Linked DNA regions of Sus scrofa. The protein of the gene in region 1 purifies or fractionates together with the protein of each later gene. This does not show direct contact. Links are inferred from orthologs where the notes say so. Each region holds a gene or a part of one and is shown in the gene's direction. Other genes may lie near its edges. The genes, in order: ACTR2, ARPC1A, CHURC1 and CORO1C.

What was found.
Region 2: the proteins of ACTR2 (region 1) and ARPC1A purify together in Homo sapiens (affinity purification with mass spectrometry; 9 studies listed by BioGRID and IntAct, counting the BioPlex papers as one, with this or other methods). This does not show direct contact. The link is inferred for Sus scrofa from reciprocal best matches to the Homo sapiens genes ACTR2 and ARPC1A.
Region 3: the proteins of ACTR2 (region 1) and CHURC1 purify together in Homo sapiens (affinity purification with mass spectrometry; 4 studies listed by BioGRID and IntAct, with this or other methods). This does not show direct contact. The link is inferred for Sus scrofa from reciprocal best matches to the Homo sapiens genes ACTR2 and CHURC1.
Region 4: the proteins of ACTR2 (region 1) and CORO1C fractionate together in Homo sapiens (co-fractionation; 3 studies listed by BioGRID and IntAct, with this or other methods). This does not show direct contact. The link is inferred for Sus scrofa from reciprocal best matches to the Homo sapiens genes ACTR2 and CORO1C.

What each region holds. Positions count from the first base shown.
Region 1 is NC_010445.4:76,726,253-76,730,346, reverse strand, and holds the start of ACTR2 (actin-related protein 2), read left to right. Parts: upstream 1-1,249; coding exon 1,250-1,297; intron 1,298-4,094. UniProt on the Homo sapiens protein: ATP-binding component of the Arp2/3 complex, a multiprotein complex that mediates actin polymerization upon stimulation by nucleation-promoting factor (NPF).
Region 2 is NC_010445.4:6,302,712-6,306,275, forward strand, and holds part of ARPC1A (actin-related protein 2/3 complex subunit 1A), read left to right. Parts: intron 1-257; coding exon 258-362; intron 363-3,564. UniProt on the Homo sapiens protein: Probably functions as a component of the Arp2/3 complex which is involved in regulation of actin polymerization and together with an activating nucleation-promoting factor (NPF) mediates the formation of branched actin networks.
Region 3 is NC_010449.5:88,991,506-88,995,069, forward strand, and holds part of CHURC1 (protein Churchill), read left to right. Parts: intron 1-318; coding exon 319-454; intron 455-3,041; coding exon 3,042-3,112; intron 3,113-3,564. UniProt on the Homo sapiens protein: Transcriptional activator that mediates FGF signaling during neural development. Plays a role in the regulation of cell movement.
Region 4 is NC_010456.5:42,061,529-42,065,692, forward strand, and holds the start of CORO1C (coronin-1C), read left to right. Parts: upstream 1-1,326; 5' UTR 1,327-1,454; intron 1,455-4,164. UniProt on the Homo sapiens protein: Plays a role in directed cell migration by regulating the activation and subcellular location of RAC1. Increases the presence of activated RAC1 at the leading edge of migrating cells.

The sequences.
Region 1 (4,094 bases):
AAACTGAAAGGCAGTCTAGTAGTATAATACTGAACTGGGGATTCATGATCCAAGTTTTAGTCTTATTATATCTTTACAGGGAGGAAAGGCACAATTCTAGTCCTCACCTCTCAAAAATGATGACTTTTTTCTAGATGAATTGTAATGTCGTTTGTCCAATAAATACATTCTTGGAAAAATAACAGCAAAGAGTAAAGAACATCTCAAAGATTATCTGTAAAGTCTTCAAAGATGTGACTACTGAGTTTGAGAGCATGAGAAGTCCTCTGATGGATTAAAAAGAAATAAGTAGGGACACTACAGAGAGAACTTCACGTTTAAGAGTGTAGAACACGCTTACTCTCTGCTCAGAATTTTATCTCCACAACTGATGGAAGTAAATGTTATTATCCCCATGCATTTACAAGGCTATGCCCAGATCACATAATTCTTGAGTGGCAGGGCCATATTTGAAAATGGGATTGTCTGATGTCAAAACAGAAACTCTGGGTTCAAAGACGTACAGACACAGAAGAGGTACGAAGCAACATGGTGCTGTTGGGAGGGAAGTGGTGATCGATGAGGCTCACTTTCGCTCATTTTACTAAAGGCGAATCGAGCAAATATGAGTTGAGTTGGAATTGGCATAAATGCATGATTTCACGTGTGTATACCCACCCCGGCTCTGTCCACTGAAAAGGTCTAGAAAGCAATGACACACCAAGCCTTGTTCAAAGGTGGGTTAGCAAAAATGTCTAGGTTTACTCCCGCCTCCCGCCCTCCTGGCAAGCTTCTCTATCACAACCCGCTGCCGTCCCTCGACGGACCCGGTGTCCTTCGTCTGCCTGCTCCTTCTGCAGCCGGGTAAGCGGCGCCCTTAACTCATGCGAAGCCTGGGGGTACCATTACGGCCCCGGGAGGCGCCGGTAACAAGACGAGGACAGGAAGAACCTGGTCGGGCGGCGACCGTGAAGGTGGAGCTGGAGCCAGAGGAGGAGCCGGCGACGTGGGCGGGGCCTCGGGCTTCTTTGTTTCTTATTGGAGCTCGCCATTGCCAGTATCTGCCTCCTCCCTCCCATCCCCACCTCTTCCGCACAGGCAGTCTGTTAGGTGGCGGGCGGGGCCGGGCGGCCACTTCCGGTTGGGGGAAGAAAGTTGGGACGAAGGAGGGGCCGGGAAGAGGGCGGAGGAGGAAGAGGAACCCGGCGGACGGAGGCGGCTGTAGGTTGTTCAGCGGCGGCGGCGGCTTAGGCGCTCTTTCCGGTGGACGATGGACAGCCAGGGCAGGAAGGTGGTGGTGTGTGACAACGGCACTGGGGTAAGCGCTCGGCGGGGAGGGTACGGCGGCCACAGGCCCAGGCGGGGATGTGCTGGCGGCTCGCGGGCCCTTGGCGCCGGGGGCGGCACCTTTGGGCCCCCGGCAGCCGGAGCCCAGGGGCGCGGGACAGCACTTCCTGCCTCCGCGGTGTGGGGCGCGAGCGGGCGGGGCCCTTTGGGTCCCCGAGCCCACCACTCCAGCATCTCGGGGTCGAGACGGCTGGCCAGGCTGGCGGGGGATGGATGGGGTTCCCACCTGCCGCCCCACCGGGGTCGGCTCTGCGCTTGAGCCGCGGCGATTTGGCTGAAGGGCCGGAGGGGGTAAAAGGCTGGGTTTGTGTGCTGCAGAAGGGCTCCTGTCCCCAGGGTCGCCGGTATGTAAAAAGGAGAACGACCAAGAGGCCTTCCTCTTCCTGTGTAGTTGAAGATACGGAACGGGAGGCAGGAAACGAGTTTAAAGAAAAAAGGGAAGTGCTGTCATGCAATGAACCCTAGTCCTTTGGTAGTGTTTGAAGCTTTTGGGTTTTTGGATTTTGATTTCTGAGGGTAGGGGAAGCCAGTTCGGCAGCGAATCATTTACTTTTTGTTCTGCATGCTGGAAATTTGGCCCAGGTGCAGCATCGCAGAGACCAGCATGTTTCAGTGGATGATCTTAAACCCCTGAAGTCCCGAGTATTAATTCCACTAACCTTAGGGGAAGTTAATCAGTTTGGGTACCCCTCCTCCTCTCTTTCCTTACTTGAAGGATGAGATAATGTTAGTATTTAAGATTCTAAAAGGAAAATCATTGTAAAAATCTGAGAGGAACACTGACAAGTAATTTGAAAGTTGTCTCATTCAATCGCCCTCTTCCTTATTTAAAAAATTGTATTTGGGCAGCAAAACTAGCAAATTAGAAGACAAAAATGTCACTTATTTTAGATGAGTTCTGTAGTGATCACTACATTACAAAAATTTCTAATCATTTTGGAGTTGCAATGTTTTGTGACTCTTATCCCCTTCCTTCGATAAATGTAACATTGTGAGTTAAAATCGATTTTATTTCAACTTTAAAGCAGTTTGGAAACTGGATTGTTGAGGGGAAAGAAGAGCTGATATTCACTTCAGTAATACTGACCTTGATTGAATTTGTTACAGTCTTTTACAAGCAATAATTATACCAACTTTATCTGAACTGAGTTAAAAAACAGATAAGAGAGACTTCCCGTCCTGGCCCAGAAGTAACAAACCTGACTAGTATCTATGAGGATGTGGGTTTGATCCTTGGCCTTGCTCAGTGGGTTATGGATCCCGTGTTGCCATGAGCTGCAGAGTAGGTCGTACACTCGCCTTGGATCCAGCATTGCTGTGGTGTAGAGGGGCAGCCAGAACTCTTAATTCAACCCCTAACCTGGGAGCTTCCATATGCTGCAGGGGCAGCCCTTAAAAAAAAAAAAAAAAAATTTACCACAATTCCATTTATGTGCTCTTTATTAAAATATTTATGTGTCCACAAATGTGTATGTGTATGTGAAATTTTGAAGGGATTCATAAGAAATGTATGTTCATAGCAGTTACCTGTGGAGACTAGGAATGAGAGTGAGGTAAGGTGGGAAGGACTTCATGACTTCTGAATTATTGGAAAAATGTTCTTGGTGGTTGTTTTTTTTTTTTTTTTGTCTTTTTTTTGGTTTGCCATTTTAAGGGCCACTCCCCGAGGCACATGGAGGTTCTCAGGCTAAGGATTTAATCGGAGCTGTAGCCGCTGGCCTACGCCAGAGCCACTGCAAGGCGGGATCCGAGCCGCGTCTGCTTCCTGCACCACAGCTCACGGCAACACTGGATCCCCAGCCCACTGAGCAAGGCCAGGGATTGAACCCGAAACCTCATGGTTCACAGTTGGATTCGCCAACCACTGAGTCACGACGGGAACTCCTGTCCTTGTTTTTTTTAACAAAACATATATTGCTACCTTTAAATGAAATTAACTAGAAGCAGGTATTACTTTTACAGTTCAAATTCAGTTAAAGGTGCAATATTTAAAAAATATTAGCCTGGTGCCCATTGTAGTCTCAGATTGACCTCTAAATAAATGTAAATTGGGACTTCCCTGGTGGCACAGTGGGTTAAGGATCCTGCATTGTCACTGCTGTGGTTTGGGTCATGGCTTTGGCAAGGTTTCAGTCCCTGGCCTGGGAACTTCGACATGTAGCATATGTGGCAATAAGTAAATAAATGTAAATCTTCAAAAACTGAGTTTAAAATATTTTGTCTTGTTAATATGTCAGCTTTTCTCTTTAGAAATTGAACATGGAGGAGTTCCCGTCGTGGCGCAGTGGTTAACGAACCCGACTAGGAACCATGACGTTGCGGGTTCGGTCCCTGCCCTTGCTCAGTGGGTTAACGATCCGGCGTTGCCTTGAGCTGTGGTGTAGGTTGCAGACACGGCTCGGATCCCGTGTTGCTGTGGCTCTGGCGTAGGCCGGTGGCTACAGTTCCGATTTGACTCCTAGCCTGAGAACCTCCATATGCCGAGGGAGTGGCCCAAGAAATAGCAAAAAAAAAAAAAAAAGAAATTGAACATGGATATATTTGAATGGACACCTCCTCTTTGAAGGGCAGTGAACCTGATTTTTGTAGTGTATATGAGGTTTTTTTCCATAATATTTGTTAGCAATGGGAATGTTAATCATGAGCTCTTTTTTATGTTCCTATTTCATTAGTTTATCCGTGTTAGAACTCTATTATTGATTAGTCTTATGTCTAATCCATAGTTTAAGAATCTTGTTCCTTAAGATGAAAGATCAGTTACTATGACA
Region 2 (3,564 bases), about 70 Mb from region 1:
GGGATTGAACCTGAGCCACAGCCACATCAACACCAGATCCGTAACTGACTGCGCTGGGCCGGGGATCAAACCTGAGCCTCTACAGAGACACACCCACTGTAGTGGGGAGATAATTAGCCCACCGCACCACAGCAGGAGCTTATGGAACTGTTTTCCAAAACCACTTTCCTATCCCCTCCTTCAGTCTGTTTTTAAAATGCCAGCTGTAATGTGCCTTTTTTGGTGACAATTTCAAGTTCATTCACTTTTTTCTCCAGAGATTGCCCTTAGCCCCAATAATCATGAAGTCCACATATATAAGAAGAATGGGAGCCAGTGGGTGAAAGCTCACGAACTCAAGGAGCACAACGGACACATCACAGGTAAGGGAAGATGGCCGTGAGCTTGTGCTGTCTCCAAGTTCAGCAGTCTTCTCTTTACATGAAGAGCCCAATAGGCTGCCATAACATTTCAGGTTGTGCAGCATTTCCTGAGTTTTCTTTAGACAATGTGAGAAAATACCATGATAGGGATCTCAGTCTCTAAGGGCATCCGGAAACCCAGCTCTTACACAGGCTCTGCTACTGTTACGGAAAACACTGAACCTGCTCTGGGGACTAAAGAGCTTAGATGAGAGGAGACGTGAAAGCGGAAACCAGACAGCAGGTCAGCTGTGGGAAACCGCAAGCCAAGCTGTGTTCCCAAGTCCCGAGGGAACACAGTGTCTTCCAAAAGTTTCCTGGGTGCTGTTTTGGGGGCGAAGAAGACATTCCAAAATATTGAAAAGGACAAAGAGTGATGTGACAAACACCTGTATCCCTGCCACCCAGAATTAGCAGCTGCTTATCTTTTTTCCTGTGCCAGAAAACTAAACTTAGGAAACAACGATTTAATCATAAGGAGTATTGTTCCTTATGATTAAAGGCACCAGTCCTGTCCTTCTCCCCCAGAAGGCAGTCTGTAATTTGGGATGACATTGTCTCTCGTGTGTGTGTGTGTGTGTGTGTGTGTGTGTGTGTGTGTGAACAAGCTTTGGTACTATTGGCTCCTATTTTTAAATACTGCATAAATGGCATCATATCATTCCTCTCCTGCAGCTTCCTTTGACACTGTTTCTGAGCTCTCTGTAAGTAGGCGTATCCAGAGCAAGGTGATTCCTTTCCAACCCACTGCTTAGCATTCTTACCTCATTTACTTACTCTTTGCTCCGTTGAAGGACATTTAAGTTGTTTCCACTTTTCCCTTGTTCCATGGAAGTACTAAATTAGGCGTCCCTGGGCAGGTCTCCCTCTGTGTGTGAATGTTTGTCTCTGGGAGACTTGGGGTGCCTCGGGCGTGTGCACGTCTTCAGCCTGGAGGGGCGCCATCTGATGGCCCCATCCTCCCAGCTCTGAGCAGGAGTGTTTATCCTCCCGCGTCCCACACAGGCTTGCACCGTCTGATGAGTGAATAGTGGTCTCTCGGTAAGTGGCATTTCCCTGATGAATCGCAAGGTGGAGCAGATGTTTATCAGCCATCTGGGTTCTCTTTTTTGTGACTTTACTTTTCATAACTCCTAACCATTTTCCCATTGAGTTTTATCTTTTTCTGGTCGATTTCTCGAAGACTGAGGCAGATTCCTATGTTGTACAGTACCTTTCAGCTTTGACAAAAACTATCAATAAATAGAAGGGGAGGGGAGTTCCCGTCGTGGCTCCGTGGTTAACGAATCCAACTAGGAACCATGAGGTTGCGGGTTCGATCCCTGGCCTTGCTCAGTGGGTTAGGGATCCAGCATTGCCGTGAGCTGTGGTGTAGGTCGCAGTCACAGCTCGGATCCTGCGTTGCTGTGGCTGTGGCGTAGGCTGGCGGCAACAGCTCCCATGAAACCCATAGCCTGGGAACCTCCATATGCTGAGGGTGCGGCCCTAGAAAAGGCAAAAAAACAAACAAAAAAACCCCATGAACTTACTGCTATGTTCAGGAAGAACTCTTGTTCTTTGACCCTTACTGCTATAATTTCTTTTTTATCCTATTTTCTGGCTCGGTGATTCAACCCCTTCTGTAAACAGTTTGGCCAAGCACATTGAAAACTTGTTCTTTACTCTTTTTTTCTTATTTATGTATTTATTTATTTATTTTGTCTTTTTAGAGCTGCAACCACGGCATGTGGAAGTTCCCAGGTGAGGGGTTGAATTAGAGCTGCAGCCGCCGGCCTACATCACAGCCATAGCAACGCCAGATCCAAGCCGTGTCTGCAACTTAGCAACACTGGATCCTTAACCCACTGTGCAAGACCAGGGATTGAACCCACATCCTCATGGATACTAGTCAAGTTAGTTACCACTGAGCCACAACAGGAATTCCTTATTTTTTTCTTAAATGGCCACACCCACAGCATATGGAAGTTCCTGGGCCAAGGATTAAATCCGAACTGCGGCTGACCTACACCCGAGGTGTAGCAACACCAGATCCTATAACCCACTGTACCAGGCCGGGGATTGAACTCGTGCCTCTGCAGCCACCCGAACCACTACATTCCGATTCTTAGTCCACTGCACTGCAGCAGGAACTCCAGTAATTTTTTAAACTTTAATTGGGACCCTGGAGTTTTGCCTGTAACCCCCAACATACTAGTTAGTTTAAAAATATTCTTCCTCCCCATCAGAAAAAAAAACCTCATGTTTTGACCCTCTGCACCTTTTCATTGTATCCCCAGCAAAAAACTCATGACCGTCCCTTCTTGGTTTTACCATGGATTTGTTTGTGATGCTCGTTGGGGGCCAACTAACTCTATTACCAAACCAGCACCAAAGACATAACTTCTATTTTTGTCACTGTTCCTTTCCCATGACCTTATTTCCATTAGATTTGGCCTGTTTTCTTTAAGTCCCTTTGCCAGTGGCCTTACAGCCTAAAAATAAGAACACTTTATTTATTTATTTATTTATTCCTTTTTTGGAAATTTTTTTATTAAAGTATAGTTAATTTATAGTGTTGTGCTATTTTCTGCTATACAGCACAGTCATACTTACACATTCTCTTTCTTATATTATCTTCCATCGTGTTCTATCCTAGGAGATGAGATATAGTTCCCTGTGTTATACAGTAAGACCCCACTGCCTATCCTTTTTTTTTTTTTTTTGCTTTTGCTTTTTAGGGCTGCACTCACAGCATATGGAAGTTCCCAGACAGCTAGGAGTCAAATCAGAGCTGCAGCTGATAGCCACAGCCACAGCCACACCAGAGCCAAGCCTCGTCTGTGACGTATGGTTCATGGCAGCGCTGGATCCTTAACCCACTGAGCAAGGCCAGGATCAAACCCTCTGAGCCGTAAGGGGAACTTAACATAAACATAATAACATAGCGAGAACGCAACAAATGGAATCGTCTGCATGTACTATAACCCCAAACTCCAAGTCCATCCCACTCCCTTCCCTCTCAACCACAAGTCTGAAGAACACTCATATTTTAAATTGGAATTTCAGCATTAGGAAATACTTTAAAAGAGAAAGGGCTAAGATGAAAAACCAAAGAAATAGCCAAAAAAAAAAAAAAAAAAGTGAAATAGTTATGAGCTTTTCCTCCCCTGCTTCTCTTTTGGAG
Region 3 (3,564 bases), on another chromosome or scaffold:
GGGCTGCTTCTGTGGCATATGGAGTTTCCCAGGCTAGGGGTCTAATCGGAGCTGTAGCCGCCGGCCTATGCCAGAGCCACAGCAACACAGGATCCGAGCTGCGTCTGCAACCTACACCACAGCTCATGGCAACGCCAGATCCTCAACCCACTGAGCAAGGGCAGGGATCAAACCTACAACCTCATGGTTCCTAGTCGGATTCGTTAACCACTGCACCACAACGGGAACTCCTGCCTTTAGATATTTTAAGTCTGTTAATCATTTTCACCAAGGATTTTGAAATATAAGAAAATTAAATGCCTGCTTTTCATATTTTAGGGTAACATCTGCCTGGAGAATGGATCTTTCTTGCTGAACTTTACAGGCTGTGCAGTATGCAATAAGCGGGATTTTATGCTGATCACAAACAAATCTTTCAAAGAGGAAGATGGAGAAGAAATAGTTACCTATGATCGTAAGTAGCCTTCTTTCCATCCAAGTCTGTTAGCAGGTGTCAGCTTTTGAGACTTAGGTTGTGCAAAATATTATGAGGTCTATTCCAATATCATATTGCAATACAGTTACTAGTTAGTTTTTTAAGAGGAAAACAGAAAGAATACCTCATTAATCTAGCATCATCAGATATTCCACATAAATGACTTTTGCAGATAATTGAAGCTTATGATTCAGGCACGAGCTTTTCTTCTGGGTTTTTTTTGGGGGGTAGTGGGGGGCATGCCTGTTGCATATGGAAGTTCCTGGGCCAGGGATCAAACGCACACAATAGCAGCAGCCTGGGCCACTGCAATGACAGTGCTGGTTCCTTAACCCACTGTGCCACAAGAGAACTCCTCTCCTGTTTATTTTTAAAGACTTTATGGCTTCTGAAACAAGATAGAGGGACTTTTTTTTTTCAACCTTAGAGTCATCCACGTGAATTTTCACTTTCTACTATAGTATAATATGATGATGGCCTCCACAGCTATTAAAGTGTTTAGGGCTTATGTTTGCCTTATACTAAGTGATCCTGGGATAGTATGGTTTTTTTCAGTCTTGATTCTGCTTTTATAGCATTTTGTTTCTTTTTTCACGGTCAGTCTATAGTTTTTTTCCTTGGCTGCTGTAAATAGGCTACCTTCATATGCTGTTCCTCATCCCTGATACTGGGAAATCAAATAAATGACTTCGTATAATAAAAAATAAATCAGTTCTGAGGTTGGCACTGAGAATCTCTATGAGTAAATTAAGTATATGTTTACTTTAGTGCCCAGAGATCGTGGCGACTATTTAAACTGTTCGAATTTCCTTTTTGCTTGTCCCCTATTTTTTTTGGATTTTTTTTTTTTTTGGTTTTGAATATATATGAGGAATAAATGTGCAAATAATGATATTTTGAAAGAAGTGAAAGACATATGGAAAAAGGTTCTAAATGAGAAGAATCATTTTCTTTGTTTTAACAGATACCCCTTTAAACTCTATTTTGTTCCATGTAGGAAAGCACAGTGGTCAAGAGCAAGGGCTCTGGAGCTAGAAAGCTTGGGTTTGAATTCTGGTTCCAATACTTGCTAGCTCGGTAGTCTTCTCAGTTACCCAGTGTACCTGTGTCTCCTTATCCCTAGGAAGGTGATAACAATAGTATCTACCTCTTTGAGTTGAGAAGACTAAGTGAATGGACAGATAAAAAGTATTTAAAATGGTATCTGGCACACATTAAGCACTCAGTAAATTATAGTTATTATATGTTTTTATTAGCGTTTTATTAACTGTTAGTTTCACTTTATTTATTTACTTATTTATTGGTCTTTTTGTCTTTTAAGGCCGCATCCACAACATATGGAGGTTTCCTGGCTAGGGATCCAATCAGAGCTGCAGCTGCTGGCCTACACCACAGCCATGGCAATGTGGGATCTGAGCCTTATCTTTGACCTACACCACAGCTCACGGCAACACTAGGTCCTTAATCCACTGAGCAAGGCCAGGGATCAAACCCGCATCCTTGTGGGTGCTAGTCGGGTTCTCTAACCCCTGAGCCAGGACGGGAACTCCTAATTTCACTTTAATGTCTAGCATTGGCTTTTTGTTTATGATTAGTTAGTAGCACAATTTCTAGTATTGCTGAGAATAAAAGGTTTTACATAAATAGGTCCAGCTAGTTTAAAAAACATGTATATATCTTTTGTTTGTTGTTTTGTTTTTTGCTTTGTTTTTTCCCCTGGGCCACACCTTAGGCATATGAAAGTTCCCAGGCTGGGGGTTGAATCAGAGCTCCAGCTGCTAGCCTACACCACAGCCATAATAATACTGGATCCTTAACTCACCTATCGAACCCACATCCTCATGGGTACTAGTCAGATTCATTTCCACTGTGCCATAGTGGGAACTCCCATAAAACATGTACATATCTTTTAATTGATTACCTTAGAGAGCTTTCAGTGAGAATTAATTTATGCGCATTTAGTCTCTGAGTTCAGGACCTTAATGATATAGTATTGCTGTGTGATGGATTTTGGATTTCTTATCAAGGTAGATATGGGTTGGGGGGTGGGGGGATGAGTTGGGGGTTTGAAATGCTATAAAATTGGGTTGTGATGATCATTGTACAAATATAAATGTAATAAAATTCATTGAGTTAAAAAATAAAGGGGGAGAAAAGGTAGATATGGGTTTCCCGCTGTGTTAAATATGACAGAGTTAAGATTCTTTTAAAGCAATGCCGTGTTAAGAATAGAAATTTTAAGGCGTTCCCTTCATAGCACAGCAGAAACAGATCTGACTAGAATCCATGAGGATGCAGGTTCAATCCCTGGCCTCACTCAGTGGGTGAGGAATCTGGCATTGCCACGAGCTGTGGTATAGGTTGCAGATGCTGCTCAGATCCCCTCGTTGGTGTGGCTGTGGTGTTGGCTGGCAGCTGCAGCTCCAATTCAACCCCTAGCCTAGGAACTTCCATATGCCACAGGTGCGGCCCTAAAAAGCAAAAAAAAAAAAAAAAGAATAGAAATTTTACTGTCTTAAGACACCTTCCAAGACTTAATTATTTAAATATTTCTCTTTTTCGGCAGATCTGTGTAAGAATTGTCATCATGTCATAGCCAGGCATGAGTATACGTTCAGTATCATGGATGAATTTCAGGTAAATATAGAATTTCGGGTCCGTTATTTGGTATGTTATTGTGGGGAAGGGGGATAATAAAAATACTCTTGAAAAATCTAGGTACAGTCTTCGTAAATGAAGTGCTAGCAAATACTAGAGGAGACCAACCTTGTCTTCTACCTGTGTAAGTTGAGAGATATTTTAGATGTGGGTAGATCCATTCAAACTTGTCGTCACAGAGTCACAAAGCACAATACATGTCTTACAAATGATATCTCAGTCCTGTCATTTTTGCTTATAAAAAGCTAGTACTTTATGACTTCTTAGGAGGTTACCATCATGCCCCTTTTTTCTCCACCCAGTTATGTGATTGCACAGTTGTTGGCTTTAAGTGTTAGCCTGCCCACTGCCACCATCCTTGCTAAGCATGGAAACTGTGCTAAGGAAGTTATCTCTATTTCCCCAGTAGGCATGTGGAGTTGAGCAACTCT
Region 4 (4,164 bases), on another chromosome or scaffold:
AATGGATTAGCAATGAGATCCTGCTGTATAGCACTGGGAACTGTATCTAGTCACTTGTGATTGAGCATGATGGAGGATAATGTGAGAAAAAGAATATATATACGTATGTGTGACTGGGTCACTTTGCTGTACAGTAGGAAATTGATAGAACACTGTAAACCAACTATAATGGAAAAAATAAAATTATTAAAAAACAAAACAAAGATGCCTTGCTTTGGGCAAGCAAGCCCTATCCTTTCAGATGGTCTGCTTGGTCATTTCAGTTCATCAGGCCCAGTTTCTCCAAATATTGGCATTTTAGAACTTGGTTTTTGAGAAATGATCTCTGGTTATAAAGAGGAAAACTTCATGCTATAGATGAAGAAATTCAGGCCAAGAGGACGAAGGGAACTGCCCCAGGATACACAGTCTGACTGCAGCAGAGAAAGAATCTCGGTGCTCTTTTAAGCTTGGGCTGCCCAGTTATTAAGTGAGGGACTTTGGCCAGGAAGAGGAAGGGAGGGACCCTATATCCTTCATTTCCTCACCTGCGAAATGGGGTCAAGACCTTAAGGCCCTCCTGTGTAGTGGTGGGGGATGTTGGTGTGGTACAGCACCGGGACCCCCACTTTGTGCTAGCGAAGTGACCAAATATAGTGGAAGGGGGAGCATAACGTCGGGAGTCCACAAAAGTGGTTGGAGGGTGCAATGGCAGCAGAGGCGGAGCTTCGGGAACCAGAGGCGGGGACTCGAGAATTCTGGGCGGGGCTTGGAGTTTTAAAGCTGTAAAGCGGGCAGTGGGCGGGACTTGAGATACCGCGAATAGGGTTGCTAGGCTATGGGCGGGGCTTCTAGAAGTTGGGGTGGGGTTTGTGACGACAAGGGGCTGGTTATGAAGGAATGAGAGAGTAGTTGGGCCTAGGGATCCAGGAGGCTGGCGAAGGGTTTGGATGGGGCAGTGGGCGGGGTGCACAGCAGCTGATGTTCTGGTTTTAAGAGACTCGGGGGGAATTTTTGAGGAGCCGGGGGATGTGGCCTTCCAGAGCCAAGCAGGTCAGTGGGCGGAGCTCTAAAGGACACCACTCCTGGTCCTGAGGAGCAGTGGGCGTGGCCTTTCGGCCACTGAGAGGACTAGTGGGAGGTGCGTGCGCTTGGGCACCGCCTTCCTCCGCGGTCCACCTGCATACCTCGGCACGACCAGAAGCGGCGCTAGGGAGAGTAAGGCGTGGAACACAGGCTGGGAAGCGGGCTTCCCCTCCCGGAAGTGGGCGTGGCGCGCCGTAGCCGGGCAGCCCTGGTTGGACGCGGTGCGGCGCGGGGGCGGGGCCTGCGTGCAGCGGCGGGGGCGGGGGCGGCTGTCCGCGCCCCTCCCCCGCGCGGCGCTCAGTGCCAGGCGGGAGGCGGTAGCGGTTGGAGGCTACGCCGGGCTTTGCAGCGGGGACTTCGGCGGCGGCGCCTCAGGCACCTCGGCCCTGGTGAGCTGCGCGCGCCCGGCGGGGCAGCTTGGGAACGAGCTGGGCGGGCGGACAGACCCTGTCCTCTCAGCATGTGCTGGCGCTGGCTGACAGGAGCCGGCGGGGCGTGGGGCAGGGCCCGGTGGAGAGGACAGGGTTAGCTGGAGTGGTCGCGCGCGGCGCGGATCCTTGGGCCAGGAGCCCGCTTGGGCGGGTGTGCTGGGGCCAAGGGGTCGGGGCTGCTGCGGGAGCCTTGGGATTTGGTTGGGAAAGGAGTTGGGGACCGAGGTGCCCAGAATGGGGAGAGTGAACCCGGGTCCTTATGGTGAGGAAGCTGCCCAGGGGAGACTTTTAGGGGCCCAGAACCCTTCTGGCTGGTGAGGAACCGAGCAGGGACTCGGTTACCCTGGGAGGTTTTTAGGGGTCAGGGATCCGCCTGGTTGGGTGGCGTCTTGAGTGGGGAGGGGCTGCCAGAGGCTAGGGCGCAGGGCCAGGGGGCTCCAGGCCTGGGGGCGGGGCTTGAGTCGCCCTGGGGAGCTAGGGGGTTGGGGGGTGGCCCTGGGCTGGGCTCACGTGGGGCCGGGACGTGCTGGGCCTTGCTTAGGAGGGGCGAGGGCGGCGGTCTGGTCTGGGGGTTTCCTACTTTGGGGTACGAGCTGGGCTCTGGGCCCTTAATAGCTGGATTGGGGGTCGAGGAGGGCGGGGCGGGGCAAGAGCTGGAGTGATGTGGGTGGGGGCGGCTTGGGAAGAGGATAAGCCCATGGTGGGAGCGCTGGGCTGGGAGGGGGCGAGGGTTGGGAGAGGAAGAACGGGGCTGGAACGCTATAGGGTCGGGGGCCTGGAGCGTCCGCTTGGACCCAGGATTCAGAGATACGCTCCCCTAATAGCGGAGCAGCTGGCGAGGGACGCAGCAAAAAGGAGCGCGGTGCAGGTGGGGCTCCGCTGCGCCTAAATGACTGAGGATGAGCTCAGATGTTGAGGGTGGAAATGCAGAACCGAGCCCTCCCGCCTGTGCGTACGGGCGCGCAAGCACCAGCTCTCCGTCTCTCAAATGATTTGAATGTGTTGGGGGAAGTGGCAGGCTGCGGGGGAGCCGAGAAGAAAGGGGCTTCCTCTTGGAGGGAGGCGCTGGCCCTGCCGTCCTTTTTTGGGAGTGTTCAAAGGGTTTTGGTCTCTGGAAAAGGAAACGTAGCTTTACTGCATCGTGGTTTAGAATCACATCCTATATTTGGCCTTAATGTAGGCTGTCCTTGTTTTGTGGTGTCTGAAGTCCTTGCTCTACATGTTGCAAACGTGGGATTCAGTGTAAGAAGCAAATTGCAAGTTGCTCATCTCCCCCAGGAGAGCAAGATACGAAGGCCTTTCTTTCCTATGAGACATTTAAATGGAATTGAATATAGTATGTGTTTGTCAACTGGTACTGGGTGGCGAATGTGTTTACTTTTGGAAATAGTTACCACAAAATATTAGGCCCTCTCACCACTGCCTTCCTGCCTGGAATTACATTCTAAAGCAGTACTTGTACGGCTCTTAGTCACTCTATATAATAATGCATTTCATTGTCCTTATCTGGCAGAACTCTCTCCTGACACCAGGGCTTGCTAGAATAGACAGAAACATGATTAAGTATAAGCAGTTGTTTTGTACCATCTGTTCAGTTGTGAAGGCAAATATCTGTTCATGTTACTTCACTTTCTGCATTTCCTATAAAACCGAAGAAATGAGAAATGTCTTATTTGGGACTTGATTCTGTATATTTCAGAAAACTAATTTAAGGAAACTAATTTTTTTTTTTTTTTTTTTTTTTTTTTGGCTTGGAGGTACATTTCAGGGTCGCAGTGTTTGGATATGAAGCCTAATAGTAACTGTTGGGTCTGAGAGGTTGCCTAAATAAATAGGAGGGTAAAGTGAAATCATGCTAGGAATTGTATTGTATATTAGACCTCAGAGTGCAGTCTTTTTTAGTAGATGTTAGTCTCTGTGTACTGAGGATTGAACAAAGATTATTATAAAGGTTGAGTATGCACCTTTTTGACATACCCGGAATGTGCTCTGTCCATATTTGTTTTTAATTATTTGTGGAAAGTGCATTAAAGCCTGATGGAGTCTAATAGACACATACCAATGAGATATCACTGCATACAGTATTGAATTTTTCATGATCATTTGTTACTTTGCCTGCAGATTGTGCTAATCAGCAGTTGTGTCTAATACTTTTATGTATAATTTGGGATTAGTTTCAAGTTGACAAATAGGACTTTTGGTGTGTATTGCTACTGTATCATTTTTTTTAATTGGGGTATAATTGACATGTAACATCATACTAATTTCAAGTGCTCAATTTAGTAATTCAGTATTTGTGTACACTGTGAAATGACCACCACAATAAGTCTAGCTACCATTTGTCACCATACAAAGTTATAATTTTTCTTTGTGATGAGAACTTCTAAGATTTGTTCTCTTGGCAACTTTCAAATATACAGTATACTATTATTGAGTATAGTCCTCATGCATCCATTACATCCCATGACTTAGTTATTTTAAAATTGGAAGTTTGTACTTGACTCCCTTCACCCATGCCCCCCACCCATGACAGATAACTTTTTAAATACCTAGACGTTTTGTTTTTTTAATGCTTGGATTTTTTTGATTTAGGTTTTATGCTAACACGTTTGTCACTTTTGAGATTCACTCCAGCTATAGGAGAGTCACTCAAATGCCTATGAAATGG